2 linked regions of the Tamandua tetradactyla genome follow. The protein of the gene in region 1 interacts with the protein of each later gene in a pairwise test. Links are inferred from orthologs where the notes say so. Each region holds a gene or a part of one and is shown in the gene's direction. Other genes may lie near its edges.

Region 1 (10,339 bases):
GCTGTATACCCCTTAATACCAACTCACAGGTGAAATTAAGGATACTTACACTAGAAGTAGTGGTAGGAAAGTCTAATAAACTATCAAGGGTTGTTGATGACTTATCATGGAAATGATGCTGTTTGGAGTTAAAAAGAAATACATGATGACTTTTGGGGGGGGTAATTCTTCTTGCCACTACTCTCCCTCCTTCAATGTGAGTATAGAGATTTTTAAAAATACGTTCCATAACCAGCAAAGAATTCTTTGCCATATGTCACCTTTATTCTGAACCGGGAGAAAAGAGGGTGGGAATAGGTCAGGGAGGGAGGAACCATGGTGCTAAACTGCACCATTTGTTTCTGGGATCTATGTAAGCATGAATGTGAATATACAATTATTATCCGCCTTCAGTAAGCATGTATATAGTCCATGCAGTCCCACGTTATAGAACAAATCAGAGTTATTTATAACCATTTTAACCACTTCTTTATTAAGAATGAAAGTTTATAATATATAATTTGAATGCTTCAAGTAATGGTGTTTTCACCTTCAGCTTCCCACCTTCTGTCCTTTGGGTAATTCATCATAAAGCTCCCTGTGCTTGATTAGAGAATGCATCAATGAGATAAAAGTCTTAGTTGTTGAGGAAGGCAGGGGTTTGGAAAAGAGAGGGGAGACAATGGATGAGCCATCAAAAGCCAGAAGTTGGAACACTAAGCAAGGAGGGGTAAGGAAGTCTTTGCTTAAGGTAGTTGAGGTTTATCTGCTAAGTTGATTGGTGAGGCCGTGCATCTGAGTTAAAAAGGCTTGAGAGAGTTACTTGGCATAATTTCTCCATCTTCAATGATTTACTACTGAAGTGCAAACATCAATTTTGGACTCTCTCCTGAGAAACGTTTAACAAAGTCAGTGAACTACTGGTACCTTGATATCTTTCTAGATTTGCCAAACTTTGATAGCTCTTTAATAAACCTATGCCTGGAGTTTATCTCTGTCTTTTTTTTTTTTTCTATTAAGGAAACAGATCTACTAGTAAATAGGCAGATGTAAAAATGATCTTCCTCTTTATTTCTCCATTGTGATATATATATCTTAGAATTGTTCAGAAGTGCACTCTATTGTTAAAGCTATTTGTGCCGGGTGTGCTAATGCACTCTTTGATTGAGTGAATTAGCAGTCATAACAATCTGGCAGTCTGGCCATAGAAGTGTGCTCAAATTGATTTGTGTTATGGCTGGACTGGAAAATCTAGTGTTAGTTGTTTTTTGCCCTGGGGCATTGTTTGTACCAAACTCCACTTTTCATTTAATTTTCCAATACATTTCGAAAGATTGAAATGCTTGTGATCAACATTTGATCCAGTTGCATTATTTAAAAAAAAAAAATGTGAAAGTAATTTCAGATTCCAAAAAACCTTGCTTTCAATTAGAGTAAACATAATTAGAGTGACGTCGTGCTCAGAATGGTAAATCTCCCATTGAATCTATTAAACATGTTATCTCCTTGTCCTGTCACTGAAAATAATTCAGTATATATCCGGAATGTACATCTGTATTTTTCTGTGCATGTTTCTAACACAACTTGGGGGGGGGAATTAAAATAATAAAATACTAATGAATCTTTTCTTGTTGCCCTTTCTGCATGTGTCTAAACTGTTTCTGTTTCAGTTAATGATGCTGTAAGAAAAGGATACTTAAAGCTTTTGGGAAAATTTGAGATATTCAAGAAACATGTTTGGATATATTGCCTTTAGGTTACTCGATCATTTTAGTTTTTTACATGCTAGGAAAGCTGCGTTTTCAATCTTTTTTTTTTTTCCTTTTTAAGTAACACTATTAATTACTATATTGAGACCCTGAAGATTTAAAGAAATGACTTATCCTGGCTTTGTCAATATTTGTATCTTTCTTACAATCTTCTGCTTTGCAGGCATTTACCAGAATTATAATGCAGCATGAATAAACCTTAAAACTGACTATTGATTACAGAGCAAGCTTTGCAAAATCATTTAGTCAGTTTCCCCACCTGAGAAATCAGTGAATAAAATAGGTCAATAGATAAGGATAGAATGGATGTAATACAGTGCTATACTTGCTTGGGTTATAAAAAGGGTCAACAATAAGTCACCACAGAATTCATGTTTTTACACTCAATAAAATAAAATGATACTTACCAAATTCCAACTATAAGCCCATCTTTCTAAGGATCTATTCTTCTTTCTTTTAACCTTAGGCTTTGTAAGTATGCTTTTATGTTGTCCTAATTTCAACAGAAGCATTTCCTTGTCATTTCCCCTTTTAACCATTTAGGATGCCCTTATCATCGGACTAAAGTGCTTGTTGTCATCCAGGTATTCACCATGACTTTAGCTGCAACAGCTACTTTGTATTTTCTTACTGTCTCCTGCAACCTTGCAGCTCTTCTCAAACCTGCATTTCAGAATGTACTGAACTCTATCCTGTGCCGATTTTTAAGTAATAGATGGTGAGACCTGAGACCACTCTCTCTTAGTTTCCATCATTCGGTTATCGTCTGGGGGAAGGGAGGGGAGGGGCTAGGAGGGAGGGAAGAAAATACCTTCCCTTAACTGGTACAAGCTCAGCTTCAAACGATATCCTAGGAAAGAAATTAAAGACTTCTTAATTAGTGCAGCAATTAAGCTTTCTTGGTAGCATTTTAATCAGCACAGGCCCTATCAAAGGACAAACAGAACGATTTGCAGGTCTTTGAATTTTAAACAGTCTTATTGATTTCAGCACAATGCATCTTCACAAAACACAAGGAGAATTTTCTAATATCCGTTACAGTACTTTGAGTTTTGCTTATGCAAATTGAGTGAATGCTGGGGAAGGTGAGATGGAGGGAGAGGACCTGAAGCAACTAGATGTAAAATAATAAACAAACAAGACAAAACCCCTGAAAGCTATAGATGCAATGGAAAAGAGTGAAGATTTGAAATCTTTCTTGAGTTGATTTATCTGCTGTTGTTAAATACTTTTTGTCTTAATCATTGGTAACATTTCTCAAAGGAAAAAGAAAAAGAAACCCTGAAGATTCTCAAGGCTTTTCTTTCTTAAATCCTTTCATTTATATTATGCTTTTTTTTCTAATGCTATTGCTTGATCAAAGGGGTAAGTGGTGGTTCCTTGAAATGGTTTATAGACCTAAGGTCTTTTAAACTCCCATAGCTTCTGACTAAGCACGTGCTGGGAGGCACAGGTTTCCCTGCAGTGTAAAATTTGGAGTTTGCTTCGAAGCAGGGTGGGATTATGGTCTGGTCTGTTATCATTACTTCCTGTCTGTGGTTTACAAATGTGGCAGGTATTGGGTAAATGATAATTTAAGGAAATATGATAAATAAGAATGGTAAGGCAGATTTTCAGCATTTAGTTTCCATTTTTTCCCCAAATGTGGGTCTAGAATTTAAACAAGCTGTAGTTTAACGTTTTAGAATTATGTCAGAGTTTTAATAAAGTTGTGCTTGTGATTCCAACATAAGATTAATTTTTCAAGGCTCAATACATGGCAATTTGAGATTATTTTTTAAAAAGATAGTATTTTCTAAAATGTGTATAAATGCTTAAGGAAGTGTTTCGATGGTATATGTTATAAATTGAATCATACTTTTTAATTGAGGACAGAGAAGTGGACTGAAAAATTAATATATATTATTTCTGAATATATTAAAATACATTGGCTAACCTCGTCCAAACAATTGTGTGAACTTTAGTTACACTTCTAGATGCTATTCTACTTTCCTGCAACAACCAATTTTCTGAAATCTTAGATCCCAGAAAAGCCTCCTGATATAACTGCTATGCCCCAAAAAGTTTAGCATAAAACGTAGACAAATTAGTCATGTCATATCTTTCTGTAGATATTTCCTGTAGTTTTTGACACTAAACTTCAAAAGGTTTAAGGAGTTAAAATGATAGAGTTACATGATCATAATTTCAACACCAAATGGCAGAAATTTCATTATGAAATCTCCCAGCACTGTGAATCTGCTGCTAATAGTGTATATTAAATATCTGTCAAATGCTAAAGCATTGTTTAATATCTTGTGTTACTGAACATGTGTAGACAGATTCAAAGCCTAATTATTTAAGATTTCTAGAGATACAAGCAGGGAACAGATTTGACCTATGCTCAAATCATATTTTCGTAAGAAATCCTTGAATAAAATAACACATGCAACAGGTTAGAAAAGAAAGGGAGAGAGGAAAGAAAGGAAGAAGTCAGTCTGAACTCAGCCAAATACTGTTTGTTAAATATAGCTTCCCTTTCTGCCTTTACAAATCAGTTAGTTAGCATTGTTTTTGCTTTCATTAGTTACAAAACACATTTTCACGATATAGTAAGAAGGGATTCCCAAAATATATTGATACTTTTCAATTATGGGGAGAAAAAAAAACTTGTATCATTCAAACAGCACACTGGCAACTACCCTTGGGTCTTAAAGGATAAGGGTTATTGGTTACTGTGCAATACAGGTAAATTAAGCTTAGAATTTTGGGTAAGAAAAACCGGCGTGTTCTTGTTTTCTACTTTTTAAATCTTCAAGGATGTCTCATCTGTTTGGATTGTCATGGCCTAACAGACACTCCTGATCTGCTTTTGAGCCAAAGTGAAGTTATTCTGAACGATCCACATCGTGGAAAGCATTTCTTTCTTTCCACAATCTATAAAGAAATAAAGAATTAAACACAGCGTGTTTCATTATTCTTAAGCAATTTCGGACTTTTTCCCCCCGCAACTTTAAAACTGTCCAATCTGGAATTTCCACTATCTTTATACAAAATAATGTAACAGATAAACAAGCAGATGCATAAAACATACGTTTTGCTTACTTTTCCTCAAATTAATTTCTTAATGATTATGCAGTGAGGGGATGTGTTTCCATTTATATCACGGTGCAAGAACGCGAGGAGATATGTCCTAAATCCTTTAAGAAGAGCTCGGAGCCTTCTGGCTCCTCTTTAAGTTGGGAGGCGATTGCTTAGAAGCTTTAGAAGAAAACTACGAGCCGTCGCGGACGAAACGGAACACAGACATGCAATCTAACGGTAGTAGAAGAGAAGGAAGAGGCAGACAGATGATCTCCCTCTGTTTTCCGAGCGCCACTTCTGAGTCCCTGGCTTGTTCTCTTCGTCCCTCCCACAGTTTCTTTCCTTTTCCCCCTTCTGCCCCCTCCCCCCTCCTCCTTTTCTCGCACGCACGCACACACACACACACACACACACACACACTCTCTCTCTCTCTCTCTCTCTCTCTCTCTGTCTCGCGCTCTCGGAGTCTTCTCCGAGTCCTGGTTGGATAATTTGGGTTAATACTAGTGAGTGAGGTTTTTGCGGCTTCAAAGGGTATTTCAAGTTTCCGGAGCTCCTCCCCTCTGCACCGTGTGACAACAACAACTCGTCCAGCCGGCAGCCTGCACTTTTCAGCTCATTTTCTCTCTGTCATTCACCTCTCAATCTTTGATCAATGTACTTGCCAGGGAGAACGCAAGTCCTTCAAACCTCCTCCTTTTCACCTTCATCCTTAACTTTGTGCTAGAGCGGGACCCACACAACAACAGCCGACCCTCCCCGCCCCCGCCCGCCCCCCCAAACCAGCCCCCGATCCCAGCCCCCGGAGAGGACTCGCATTTCGACTTGCGGGACACTTTTGTGCGTTTCTCTCCAGAGCGCCTCTCGCGCTCGCCCCTCCTGCGCTCGCTCTTTCTCACCTCTTCTCTAGCCTTCGTTCTCCCTTCTCCTCTGGTTCTCTCCTAGAGTTGTTGTTGCCCCCTCGCTCCTGCTCCCCACCCCCTCCCCCTGTTTTTCCTTCCCCTCCCCGGGGTTTGTGGCAACTTTTCCCCTCGCTTCTCCTCCTGTTTCCCCTTATATGTGACCATGGCAGTGCCGGCGGCTTTGATCCCTCCGACCCAGCTGGTCCCCCCTCAACCCCCGATCTCCACGTCTGCTTCCTCCTCCGGCACCACCACCTCCACCTCGTCGGCGACCTCGTCTCCGGCTCCGTCCATCGGGCCCCCGGCGTCCTCAGGGCCAACTCTGTTCCGGCCGGAGCCCATCGCGTCGGCGGCGGCGGCCACAGTCACCTCCACCGGCGGCGGCGGCGGCGGCAGCGGAGGCGGCGGCGGCAGCGGCGGCAACGGAGGCGGCGGCGGCGGCGGCGGCGGCAACTGCAACCCCAGCTTGGCGGCGGCGAGCGGCAGCGGCTGCAGTGGCGGTGGCAGCATTAGTGCTGGCGGCGGCGGCGCCTCCAGCACCCCCATCAACGCCAACACCGGCAGCAACAGCAGCAGCAGCAGTAGCAGCAGTAGCAGCAGCAGCAGCAGCAGCAGCAGCAGCAGTAGCAGCAGCAGCAGCAGCTGCGGCCCCCTCCCCGGAAAACCCGTGTACTCGACCCCGTCCCCAGTGGAAAACACCCCCCAGAATAATGAGTGCAAAATGGTGGATCTGAGGGGGGCCAAAGTAGCTTCTTTCACGGTGGAGGGCTGCGAGCTGATCTGCCTGCCCCAGGCTTTCGACCTGTTCCTGAAGCACTTGGTGGGGGGCTTGCACACGGTCTACACCAAGCTGAAGAGGCTGGAGATCACGCCGGTGGTGTGTAATGTGGAACAGGTTCGCATCCTGAGGGGACTGGGCGCCATTCAGCCCGGAGTGAACCGCTGCAAACTCATCTCCAGGAAGGACTTCGAGACCCTCTACAATGACTGCACCAACGCCAGGTAAAGAACCGGGGGGTAGCCTCCGCCGCTCGCGGCCCCTTCCCGCCCGCCTGCTCGCCCTTCCCTGGCTCCCTAATCGGCGCCGCTCGCTCCGCGCGCCCGCGAGCCGCGCGCCCTGGTGAGCGCAGCCCTCTCCTCCCCTTCCTCCGGGCTCGCCAGCCGCGCCCGAGCGCCTGAGAAGTTGGCACCTCACCCTGCCCAGATCTCGCTCTTCGGGCCCGAGCCACCCTTCGCTGGCCAGGGCTTGGCGGCTGTGGGACGCGCGCACCCCCGACCCTTGGGCCGGAGGGGGCGGGAAGGGGGAGAGGGCGCCTTTCCGGGAGCCACAGCTTCTTTCCGGACGCGCTGGCGTCTGGAGACCCCTCTCCGCGCTGCCGCCGCGTGTGAGCTCCCCGCGACCCGGCTTCCGCGGCGAGCCTCGGGCCCAGGCAGGCTTCGTCGGAGGCGCCGAACGGCGTACGGAGGGCTGGGAGGTCGTCACTAGGCTGGGCTGGGTTCGAAGGGCAGGGCGTCACGCTCCGAGTGAGGGGCTGGCGGACAAGCCGAGCGATTGGACCAAGAGCCGGGGAGGGCACTTCGAGGTCGTGAGGGGAGCGACTTCGGAAGCCGTGAGGCGCGAGGCAGTCCCTGGGCACCCGCAGCCACTTCAACCCCAAAACCCGGAGGGGAAGCCCGCCGAGGGGAGGGGTCTGTGTGTGCGCGCATGTGTGCTGTGCGTGTGTACGCGTGTGAGGTGTGCCTGTGCGTGTGCAAAGGAAATAAAGGGTGTCGTTTGCCCCGGGGCAGAAGCGAGGGCACCAGCAGGTGTCCTTTAAGGGGAGATGACCATGGGGTACTCAAGACTCTTGCAAGCCGCGCTGAAGACGTGGGGAAGAAAGAGGACAGCGGTCTCTCTCCAATTTTATTATTCTTTCTTTCTTTCTTTTTAAAAGGTTGCCAGTAGCTCTAGCAATCGAGCAGGTGCAAGCTTTGCACTGGGAGGCTCTCAGGGGTCTGAGTCCTCCGTGTGGTCGCTTCCCGACCCGCGGAGCGCGCGCGGGGCAGAGACCGCAGGATTGATTCTCCGGCGAGACCAGTTTATGCTAATGAACGCGCTGTGGGGGAGGATCTACCGAGAGGGGGCGGAAGTGGGGCAACTTGTCAGTTTCGGGGTAGAAATGATCTTTCCACCCTTTTACACTTCCTCCTGTCCCCATCGTTCGCTCCTGGGAATCTCAGAGGAAAAAAAAATTAAGATCTCACAGGAGAAAGTGAGGAGGAAAGTTGGAGCCTTGGAGCAAACGGGTGGGACCTGGGCGCAAAATTTGCGGGGACACTCCCTTGCTCTTCAAATCAGATTAAAGACCCAGAGAGTGAACTGTTTTACTCTTTCAGGGTCCGTGTTCCTAGTAAAGCTAGGGTAACAGAGGTGGAAAGGAAAGAGGATTAAAACGACACCAGAAGGAAACCAGGTGAAAAAGCCCCGGGCTATTTTTTACCTTGAAGGGAGATTCCCACCTAGTGCCCAGGAAAGCTGTAAAGATGAAAGACTCCAACTCCGACCCACCAAATGTCCCATCGGAACAATCCAGAAACTTTGTTTCCCGATTTATTTGCTATTCTTTGCAAATAGGGTATGGGTGTGTGTTTGGGCTTTGAACTCGCATTTTTACTATTTTGGGGGTGGATGCTGAGTGTATGTGTATGTGCGCGCGCGCGCGTGGGTTTGCGGTGGCAGTAAAGATCGAGAGGCAATCTTTGTTAGTAATCATTTACTCAGATAATTGGAGTCCTTGGACAACCAGAAGATATTTGCAAAAAAAAAAAAAAAACTATTAAAACTACTCGAATCAGGAAGGAAAACGATTACAGGATAGTTAGAAAGAACGCTAGTTAAAATCTAAGGCCAGTTCAGATATGGTTGTTATAAAATCTTCTACCTATCCAGTAAATTGGTGAAGTGCTCTTTAGTAATCAAAAACTGCACTTGAATCCTCTTTGTGTGTTTCTTACAGCACGTAACTGTACTCGATAATCAATTGGCATTGCACATACCCCAAAAACTTGTTCGAGAAAACTTCCTTCAATGACTGCGACGTTATGACCAATGTAAAACAGGTAGTATTACACCTCTCGCGGTGTAATCCCTTGATCTTTCCCCTTGCAATTTCGTGCTTAGACTGGAATTGAAGTCCTTCCCATAAGGTTGTAGAATATTCTATAAGTTATAAACTAATATTTGAAAAAAAGAAAGACCTGCCCTCCCCCAGGTTAACAATAGCTCTGGAGTTTAAACTTACAGAACTAGAGAAGTAAAATCCACTAGCAGTGTCTACTCCTCAACAATATATCATCACTACTCTGTTTCAATTAGCTTGTCTTAATACCTGGCAATTATATGAGTTCTAAAACCTTATTTAAAGTTATTTCTCAGTTAAAATGTGGTAAATTTGTTGATTTACTATTGCCTTTTGATCTTTTCTTTACTATAAGACTTGCTCATACTTAAATACACACAAATATTGTAGTCGTTAACCTTAGAAGATGCATAGTTGCAGATACCTATCTTTTCCTAACTCTGCTACTGATCTAAGAATAGAAAACTTGTAATGGAACTGCCTCTCACCAAAATGTGCTGCTTGCATCATAATGCATTATTTTATGTTAATTACAAACGTCATTGTCTTATTTCTTAACTTTGAAAGCAACAATCTAAAATGTTTTGCATCTTGAGTTTACAAAAGTAAAATTACTTTTTCCATTAAAAGCTAATTTATATCTTGGCTATTAAGAACCTTTTTCCTTCACCTAGATACATTGATTTCTTTCACTGTGGTTTCTCTCTCCACTTACTGTTTAAGAGACTATCTAAGGGAATAATTTTTGCAGAGGATAAGAGAAACTGCAAAAGGCAAACCACATAGCACTACATATATATTTATTGTGTGTATGTAAGAAACATCACATCTTAACACTCATAGCTTTTCACAGGACATCTATCTAATTATGTCTCATAATAGCATTTATCGGACATTTGTCTAGATGCCAGGGAATCTGAGAAACCAAAATAATGCTTAAAGATACATCCATGAACTTGTTCGAAGTGGTTAAATAAGTTAGGAGCAAACCTTAGAATGGATGTAATTTGCTTGGGACTATTACATCAGTATGCTATCTATGAAAATTAGGATAAATGTTGAAACCATCTGCCATTACCTTGAGGAGATGAAAAAGCAACCATTACCTGCTAGATAGTAAGGCTAAAAGTAATGCTCTTGGAACATGAAAGAAAATGTAATGAAATATATTTAAAAGTGTCAAAGGACAAAGTATGACCTTGCTCAGCTTCCTCCAATTATTATTTTTAAACTAAACATTAGTTGCATGAACTTGGCTGTTGCAATAGAGGTCAGTAAATTAACTGGTAACCATTAAACAACAACAAAAAAAGAAAAGTAATTATATACATGGGCACGTCTGTTTGTATGAGTCAATTGCTTGTTTGTAGAATTGAGTTAGGATTCAATTTTCTGTGAATTCAGGTAATAAGGAGTTACTCTGTTTATTGTTTTACATAAAAAGCTTATTTCTGTGAATATTGCCAGAAGATGGTTTTGTCTCAAGATCTTTCAAAGCAGATTGTGA
Region 2 (9,969 bases), on another chromosome or scaffold:
GGTTTCCAGCCTTCATTAAATCCATCGTATCCAGGAGTAAATGATTATGAGTATGAATCACAAGGTATATTTTCCTGTTTTGGGAATCCTGGATTTTATAGCAGGGAGCTGAATTAAATGGATGTTTAATGACAGCATGTTTATGCTTGTACTTTATGTGATCACACCCTCTTTGGGCCTTGCAAGCAGCCTAGAGAGGAAGGTACTGCTAGTGTCATTACTACTAATTTATTTTGCGGATAAACTGGTTGACTGACTTGCCAAGGAGCATGTAGATAGTGCATTATTAGGCAAGAGCCAAGTAAGACCACGATAGCATTAACTGAAAGCTTGTGGAATGTAGGGAGAATGTAAAGATGTATAGAGTTCCCCTGGTAATTAACACATAGCCCTGGATGCAATCTGTGCTCAATATAAAGTGAATGAATGCAATAATCCTAACATTTTAATTTGGGAATTGAAAGACTTGACCTAAAAATTAAGGAAAGACTATTAACTGTGTGGTTTTCTTCCTAAAAATGGAGATGATTAAAACTGCCCATGTTTAACCTGTTTTACTGGAGGTCAGAATGATAAATATAACAATATAATTATCTCTTTAATGTATATCTGGCATCTTTCTCCAAAGTAATTCAGACTACTTCTACTCATGATGTCTTCAAAATTGTAAAGGGAAATTCTCAAGTTGTTCAAGAAAAATGGATGAAAAATTAAGGTATTATTATTCCTGAGATATTCTTTAAAGTGTCTAGTTGTTTTACTTAAATCACCAGAAAGTTGATTAAATTTCATTTCTGATCCCCAAATTCTAAGATATCAGAGTTGTTCTAGTAGTTGAGGAGGAAATTTATGAGATTTAGTGGCCCAAGTAGGAAAACTATGAATTTCTGGATAGCAAAGGATGAATTTAAGTATTATTTCCAAGCTGAACAGTCATGTACTTAGGTCCTAAATAATTTCTCAAATGTCTCTCAATCTGTCTCTTCTTTTCTCTGGAAAAATGGAGTAAATGAAGGGGGTGATGACTCAAGGGGCTAAACAGTTAAAAAAAAAAAAACTAAGAATAGCTTCAGTAGTGCAAGGAAAAAGGTTAAGTCTTTATTTTCTGATCAAATAAAAAACTCCACATTTTTTTTCATAGAGATCTGAAGACAGAAATAATATCTCTCTGAGAAAGCTGGTATTTATTGCTTTTGTTTTTAAGTGCCTAACTTGATTCTGTCATGTCAAGACAGAGAGGAGAATATCAAGTAGCACCTAATATCTGCTTTTTAATCTCTGTCACCGTCACCCATTTCCATCCTGTTTCTACAATGGTTATCTTCTACATCAAAACATCTTCATTTCCCATAAACCCAGGGATAAAAGTCAGCAATGCTCAAACATTAGAGAACACACATTCTCTTTTCAGGCCTTTTTTTAATTTTTGTGGCCGGGGGGGGCGGGGCATAGGACTGCAATATTGGGGAATTGTGCCAGATTTTGAGATTCTGGGTTTACTTCTCCTTTCTAGTATTATCTATGTGAAACCTGGAGAACTTGCTAATAATTCAAATTCCTGGGCTCTACCCAGAAAGTTTTGAGGAACCACGAGGAATCTGTATTTTTAACAAGCACCTGAGGTGAATCTGATGCATATTCTTTGAAAAAAATAAACGCTGTCATCATCCGTTCTACTCAATTGGCATTTTCCAGTTTTCAAAGTGCTTACACATACATATTCAGTTCTGTGAGGTAGATGGGAATGATTATCACTATTCTGAGGATGAGAAAACAGACTCAGAGTTTAGCAATGATTTCCTCAAGGCCTCCTTATATTGCTCTTGGCTATTTCTCTGCATACCGACCCTTAGCTGACCTTTCTGTTTCTTCCTTTTCCTTGAAAAAGGAAGTCCTCAAATCCAGCCAGTGCTTTCTTGCCTGCCTTGCTCAACAATGAGACAAGTCTTTGGGGTGAAGGAAAATAATTTTATTTGTGAAATGTGGACGTTTCCCTATTTCATATACCTATATTGGTCACTAACCCCCCTTCCCTTATCTAGATGTGCTTTAGAAAACGTGTTCTGCTTCACTTTTGGAGAAAAAAAGAAATGTACCAATCTATTTTTATCTATATAGCTTTTTCACTTGTCTTTTTATGTTTTGTTACAATCCGGAGAATGAATCTCTTATCCTCATTCAGCTACACTGAACTGCTGCAGGGGATGTGTGTGTCCCCATTGACAATTGGGATTCCCCTCTCCCCTGGGGCCCCTTGCCTGTTTCATTCTCCTCCCAGCTGTCTTCTCCATGAGCCCCTGTCTGCCACCCTCTGAGACTGCTTTTTCCAGCTGGCAGCCTGGAAGCTCCAGGCCCCCAGACACAGTGTTTAAACCATATAACCTCATATACTTCAATCCTTCTCATTGCCCAAGTGAATCTAGGCTAAGTCCACAGTTTTGTGGCTACTGAGCTACCGAGAATGGATCCCACATTCATTTTCAGTAGCTTCCTGGACCTGCATTTTCTTTTTCTTTTTTTGCGCTCTAGTAGGGTGTATCCAGCCCACACCTGTCTCTGCTTTAAATCACCTGTTTAATCCTTTATCACCCATTTTTTGGGCATTAGCCAAGATGCTCAGAGATATGACTGTGAATAAGGAGGGGTTAGGGATGTTTGAAGACAACTGATTGCAATCAATTGTAAATATAACTATTAGTCACTCCCATACCTTGGCATGAATGAAAGTGGTTATACCTTTTGCATTAAGGAAATCCTTCATGCTGCTTTTTAACTTTGATTGTAAATTGTCTCCTCTGCTGAGCTTTCCACAAGATCCAGCTGTTAACACAAGCACTTCTAGAGACCTAATTGCACTCTAAAGCTGGTTATCGACTGCCCTTGCCCAAGTCACCTTCCCAACCAAACCTCATTCCCCCTTCTGTGCAGGGCACTCAGTCCTTTGTAGAGACCTAGTGTGCTTTGGATCATTACAGAAAGCACCAAGAAATCTGGGTTCCAACATTTTCCCCTATTTCAAAATGAGCTGAAAGTGGGGTCCAACATGAGGGCCTAAGAGACCACTGCTACTTTCTCCAGTGTCCACTGCCTTCTTTCCAAACCAGAGAATTCTACGGTGCTCCAGCTTACTGGAAAGAGTGTGGATCGTGTTCTCTCGGGACCCCGACCCCTAACTCATTCTTTTATGCACACAGTGTCGATTAACCAGTCTGTAGTTGTGTTTTCTCTTGGGGGAGGGACTGGATAGAGCGGACCCAAGCTGCAGTTACCTCGCTCTGCCTCTGAGAATTTCTCATCCAGACCTCAATCACGTAGGATTGCGTAGAGAGAAGAAAAGGGGAGAGACAGAAGACGGGGAGGAGGGGAGGAGGGGAGAAGGGGAGGAGGGAAGGAGGGGGGAGGGGAGGAGGGGAGGAGGGGAGGAGGGGAGGAGGGGAGGAGGGGAGGAGGGGGGAAGAGGGGTGAGGAGAGGGAGGAAGGAGACGGAGTCTGCGAGTAGAGGGCGCAATCAAGGGAGGAGGACCCGAGCGCGCTGCGCTCCCCTGCGCTTCGCTGAGCTCCGGGAGCCCGCCTCCCAGCCCAGCCCCACCTGGGTGCTCGCACGCTTTCCCGCGAGTCGGCAAGAGGCGCAAGAGGAACTCCAGAGAACGCCAGCTCACCGTCCCACCTGCCGTCTCCGTGGCGGTCGCCTCCGCCTGGAGTTTCCTGCGGGTAGCGCTCAAGCCTGCGAGCCCGCGGGGCGGCGGCGCCAGGGAGCCGGTGAGGCTCTGCGCGCCCAGAACCTCAGCCCATGAATGGGACTCAGCACTGAGCGCCCCCTCCCGGATCTGGGGAGGCGGCGGCGCTCCGGTGGGAGGCGCCCCCTGAGCCCTTGGCTCTGAGTGGCCGCCCGCGCAGCAAGTTGGGCGAGTTGGCGGCTGCCCCCACCTGCCTCTTAGCTCCGGCCCCCAAGTCTGTGTCGGGCTTCGAGGGCCCGGGTCGCACTTTCAGCCGCCTCTCGCAGTCGTCCGGAGCGGCCTAGGGGCCCCACCTGCGCCCCCGGCGCCAGACCATGGTGGGTAGCTCAGGCCCGGAGCCGCAGCCGCCGCGAACCGACGTCGCCCGCAGCAAGCCCCGGCCCCACCCGAGCAGACGCGCGGGTGTTCGCTGCGCGCCGGTCAATTCCTTCCTCCGTCGGGATGGGCCGAGCGGGACTGAATGATCGGCCTTGCGTCGGGCGGGTAATTCCCATCTGATCTGCTGCCTGTGAGCTGCCGACTGCCGGGGCACGCGAGTCTGGGAGGGGGGCCCTGGCAGCGCGGCGATGACCTGATCCCGAGCCCGCCAGGGTGCCCCTTCCCTCCCTCGCTCCCTCTGAGCCGGTGCCGAGACTGGCTCGGTGCGGCGGTCCCTGACCGACCATGGCGGGGAGCTCCAGTTAAAGACGCGTGTAGGTGCCCTGCTGAAGAGGACACCTTCGGCATTGCTGCCTTTTGAGGGGGCTTATTTAAACTACTGAGTCATTCCAGATTTAAGATTCCCTAAATACTCACCAACTGTGCCGGTCTCGTGCCGGAAAGCAAACGGAAAGAGAGAAAGAGCGCCGCTCTCGGGACCCGGCGGATCCCCAGTGCTCGCCTCTGCCGGGTTTCTCCCGGAGGGTGCTTGGCCCTTGAGGATCTCCCTCCCTCCATCCCTTCTTCCGTCCCTCCTTCCTTCCCCCTTTCCCTCTTCCCTCCCACCTCCCTTGCCTCTAGCTCTCTTTGCAGCGCTGCTGGCGGGGAGTCGCGCTGAGCGCAGCTGGAAACAGCTGTCCACTCTCGGCGCCCCTTCCCGACTCTGGCTAACCGCTCCCACTTCGCGCTTCTCGGAATTCCAGAACTCGGGTTGCCGGACCCTGGAGAACCGCAGCCGGTCCGATGCATTCTGTAGACTTCACCCAGCCGGGACCGACCGCCTAATCTCCAGAACTGCGGCCCGCAGGGAGTTAATTTGCTGCCTTCCTACCCTTCTCTCTTGCGGTTGGTGGCTTGTTTTCTAGAGGAACGTTTTGTTCACTTTTTAGTATTTTCTACCGGGGATACGCTACCAGCCTCGGTCCAGACACTGCTTTCTAAACGGGTTTTATATGTATGTTTGTGTAGAAATACTTTGGACACCATACAACGCTTGCGCCTCACCGAACAGGGGCACAGCTTGTTATTTTGGACATTTCGTCTTCCCCTTCCACTTGGTACCCCGAACGCAGTGTGACCAAACTCCTCACTGCCCTTTGGACGCGGATCGCCTTGGGGTGCAAGCCTCTAGTTCGCAGCAAGGCTTGGGACCGCCCCGTCCCTGCCGCCAGCGGTCAGGGAAGTTTACATCTGGATTTTCACACATTTTGTTGCCACTGCCCAGACTCTGACTAACCTTGTGGGCGCCGGGTTTTCGGTACTGCGGCCTGTTCGAATATTAGCACTGCCTCCCGGCCGCCTGCCCTGTCCCTTCGGGCCGCCGAGGTTCTGCCCTCGCCCCGACTGAGTGCGTTCCCGAAGGCGCAGCGGAGCCGGGGGTCTGGGGCGCACGCTCAGCAGCCATGGCTGCGGCGATAGCCAGCTCCTTGATCCGGCAGAAGCGGCAGGCGAGGGAGTCCAACAGCGACCGGGTGTCGGCCTCCAAGCGCCGCTCCAGCCCCAGCAAAGACGGGCGCTCCCTGTGCGAGAGGCACGTCCTCGGGGTGTTCAGCAAAGTGCGCTTCTGCAGCGGCCGCAAGAGGCCGGTGAGGCGGAGACCAGGTCAGTAGAAGCCCGGACTATCGGCTCCCCAGAGGCTGACACCCTCTCTCCCCTTCCGCAAAGCACCTGGGGGCACCCGTGGAAAAAGATTTCCCTTTTCCATTCTGATTTCTCTTTACCCCTGATTTCCAAACATCTCTTTCAACCACCCTCTGCCAGTTAATAGCTTTTCTTCCCATATTCAGGAAAACATTTTCTACCTTGATTTTGGAATTTGATTAGGATGAGAGTTAATGTCCCTTGTCCAAAATAGCCTGTAGAGTCCGTGAGGACAGTGATCACCTACCTTTCTTTCTTCCTCCCATCCATCCTTCCTCCCATCCTTCCTTCCTTCCTTCCTTCCTTCCTTCCTTCCTTCCTTCCTTCCTTCCTTCCTTCCTTCCTTCCTTCCTTCCTCCCTTCTTTCCTTCCTTCTCTTTCTTTCATTCCCATCCAAACGTCTATCCTTCTGCCCATCAATCCATCCATCCATCCATCCATCCATCCATCCATCCATCCATCCATCCATCCACCATCATGCTTAGTACTCTGAAGATCTAAATATCAAACTTCCTTCCTTTATCCTGTATAATAGTATAGTTCTTCGCACATAATAGGCACTTACCAGACACTAGATGAACATAAGTTTAATTCTCTTTCACTGACTCTTTCTTCGGCAACAGGGCATTACATCTTTCAGACATCTCAGTCAATTTCTCACGTCCCCATTTTTCCACATACCCTTTTCACTTCCTTTTCCACAGACCTCCTTTTCCCTATTCTATTTTTCCAACCACTCTCATGGTTTCCAAACGCTTTTCTCATTAATCCTCTGCACACTCACTTACTTTTGGGACAGTAAGGGAGCAGCAAAGTATTTGCAGTTTGACTGTGTAAAGAAAACTTCAGAATTATTAGCTACTCTGATGGTCTAGCCTTTTTGAAGCTGATTCCCTCTGTGGCCCTAAACCCAAATGGTTGGTCTATGATAAAGTACTGTTTATGAAGAGGGACTGGATATCTTGAGTTTCAGCATGAATATCCCTAGTTCAAGGCAGGCCAGTTCTCCTGCTTGCAAGAATGAAAACAAAATTGTAGAGGCCTGTTTTTCCACCAGATATTGTTGTTCCTTCTGGGTGTGGCTGCAGGGTCATCTGCAATCTGCAGATATGTTACACATCCTGTGGACAACTGAAAGGAAATATTGTCTGAAAAAGCAGCCTGCTCTGTGATTAGTTGACTGGCTTAGTTAGCTGCTTTGCACGTCTGATTATGGTGTTCTCTTGGGTTCCAAGAGTGAGGCCCATGAACTAGATTCATTGGGGAATCATTTAGAAAATCTGGATGAGGGGTTTAGATTTAGTTTAGAAATTTGGGATTAGGTTTTGTGGAGAAGACTTCTTACCTCATTTGTGATTGGTCTTTCTTGAGATTATTTACGCCATCGTGGGCTCATTTTTGACAAATCTCTTTCTTTTTCTTTTTCTTTTTTTTTTGCGTGGGGAGGCACTGGGAATCGAACCTGGGTTTCTGGCATGGCAGGCGAGAACTCTGCCACTGAGCCACTGTCGCACCACCCCTGTGGGCTCATTTTTTAAATTCTTAATTTGTGATGGTGATACAATAGTTAATTTCAGGAATAAACAAAAATAATTATGATCTGGTAGTGACCCAAGACAGGATCTACTTAATTCTCTCTTGTTTTACATCCAATTAATATAGCCTGCTTATTTCATAAAGTAGCAATTTATGCAAAGAACTAGAGTTATCTCTACAAAATAAATAATTAATATTAGGGAAAATAAAATCCTATATTTGTTTCACAGGGATCTCAGGGCTTATGTAGTGTATAAAGAATTTCAAGGCTCTGAATTCGATATGACTCTTGCTTCCCAGTTTGTGACATGTGTTCTTGCACTCTAGTTGGGATACTTCTATGTGAGCAGTTATATTGTGCGCTTAGCCTCCTCACCTGAAAATAAGGTACTAAAAATGATAGGTGGATTATATTCTTGAATGGATAAACTCATCTGGTCTTTTAAAGTTGATTTGGAAATGAGCAATTCTCATGGCTTAATTTTGCATGATTGGGAAGGACTATATTAATTGCTTCCTGCGGCCCTTTCCTTAGCAACTTATTGGAAATTAGAAAATTTGAAGGCATTGCTGAGTTTTCTTCCATGTTCATGTAATCTGCTCCTCTTTTTCATCTATTTAATGTGCGTCTTGGCAGAGAGAATCTTGACTGGTGATTCCCCTTAGCTGAAATATCACATGCCAATCCAGCAGAGAGATGGCAGGAACTGTTATGACATGCCCACTGCAAGGGCATCATGTATGTACCTATACACCACGGACTTCAGGCTGTTCTGAGGCTTAGCTTAGAAAAATAGGAGTGTGGGGTGCAGAAAAGCTTTTTGGGAAGATGATAGTGTGTCATTATTGCTACTAACAAAGCCAAATAATTAATCTGTTGATTTGCTGTCAGCAACCATGATTCACATAGCAAGGGATGAACCTATTTATAGAAGGATAGCACCTTCCACTTCTTAATTCCAAAGAGGAATCTTTAGCTGGATTGGGGTAATGTTGCTAAATACCGAAAAAAAAAAAAAAGTTGAAGAAAACCCATTTGAGGGAATCTGTTTTTTAAGCACTTCTATGGTCATTTAATATTCGAGTTATTTTTGAAATCACTAGCCCTTCTAAACCACATCCTTGTGAATTACAAACTGAGTCACAGTTCATCCTGATAAAGAATTTGCCTTCTGAATTTCTATCCTTAAAACATACTTTTCTCTGACTAGACTTTATAAGGAAGTGAGGCTGAAGCAGTGAGGCTAAACTAAGGGTAAGATGGGATTTGTGTGGTTGTATTTTTTATTTCAGTGCTGACACAGTGAGTGTCTCTCAATCTCTTTTCTTAGTTCACCAAGTTCTAATATGTGTAATGTTGGAATTTTATTAACACAGCAGGAATATTGAAATTATGATATAGGGCTCAGGTTTTAAAATCACAGTTCATGGAATTAAAATGTGAGTAATGGCAGGTCAGCATCTCACCTTGCACGTTGGCTCCAGGGCCCCATGCATGCAGGCCTGGTTTCATGAATGCCATCCCTGGGGCTTAAAGTGATAGTGCAGACTGGGATTGGTAGCAAAATCCTTACCTTTGTAGATGAGAAACCCTAGAACTGCAGCAAGTTCGTGGTTTACACAAGGCCATATGGCTTGATTGTGGCAAAAGTGGGTCTAAAATTGGATTCAGTTGATTCTCTTTGTCTGTGCTCTTCCCAAAACAACACAGAAAAGTAGTATGAAGAACTGGGCATCCTCTGTCAAATGACAGAAGTAATTTTGCATTTGTCTTTTCTCATTAGGGAATGAGCTTATTATGATCATTTTGTAATTAGAGCAAGAATAGTGCGGAATGCTGGAGGTGACTCTTAGGAGGAGGCATAGGCTAAATCCAGCAATTGGAGTTCTAAAGCTACCACCCTATAGCTGGCATTCATTTTGGAAGTGAATCCAATAGTCAAGACATAGCAGATAACAGGCACTGCCTGTTTAAATGAAATGCTGGGGACCCAGAACTGGCAAGATGGCTTTGGTCATTGAACCATGAAAAGGCTTTAGAACAATCCTGTTTGTTTATTTTCTAGTAAAGAAACGAGCATTTCTCTGGTCATGATTTCAGCTGCTATTTTTTGTGTGAAATACTTGTGGGGGCAAGCCCTGCTAAGATATTTGCTTAAATGTTGATGCCACTGCATTTGCTGTATCAAGGTTATTTGCACATCCTTATGAATTGGATGGCTTCTTCATTTCCAATGTTTGCTTTATTTTTGAGTGGAGACACTGTGCAAATAATTGACTCCAAATTTATGTTTTGACTCAGAATTTACTGCAGATAATGGGTAGCATTCACTACCAAGAAAGGGGACGGCATTTTTAGGTAATCTCTGACTGTCTGAGCTGCCACCAACCTTGGAGTTCTGCTAATAGTTCTCATTTTTCAGATGAGATCCTTTCTAGAAAGCGGCAGTAACTTCATAGATCTAATCTATGTATGCTAAGTGATTTTGGAGTTTCTTTAAAAAAAAAAATTTTGTGTGTAATTAGGACCCTCCTTCAAATCAGAGCATTGAAAAAAGAAATCCCTCATCTAAGTAACCGAAGATATTTTTCACAGTTTAAATATGTGATTTTATACCCTTCCTTTTAAAACAATGAT

Evidence for each region. The genes of interacting proteins can lie anywhere in the genome.
Region 2: the proteins of DACH1 (region 1) and FGF12 interact in binary tests that used the Homo sapiens proteins (3 or more experiments, as listed by UniProt). The two-hybrid records come from large-scale screens. The link is inferred for Tamandua tetradactyla from reciprocal best matches to the Homo sapiens genes DACH1 and FGF12.

Annotation. Positions count from the first base shown.
Region 1 is NC_135330.1:138,970,007-138,980,345, reverse strand, and holds the start of DACH1 (dachshund homolog 1), read left to right. Parts: upstream 1-5,647; 5' UTR 5,648-5,876; coding exon 5,877-6,715; intron 6,716-10,339. UniProt on the Homo sapiens protein: Transcription factor that is involved in regulation of organogenesis. Seems to be a regulator of SIX1, SIX6 and probably SIX5.
Region 2 is NC_135336.1:12,088,679-12,098,647, reverse strand, and holds the start of FGF12 (fibroblast growth factor 12), read left to right. Parts: upstream 1-5,542; 5' UTR 5,543-5,557; coding exon 5,558-5,756; intron 5,757-9,969. UniProt on the Homo sapiens protein: Involved in nervous system development and function. Involved in the positive regulation of voltage-gated sodium channel activity. Promotes neuronal excitability by elevating the voltage dependence of neuronal sodium channel SCN8A fast inactivation.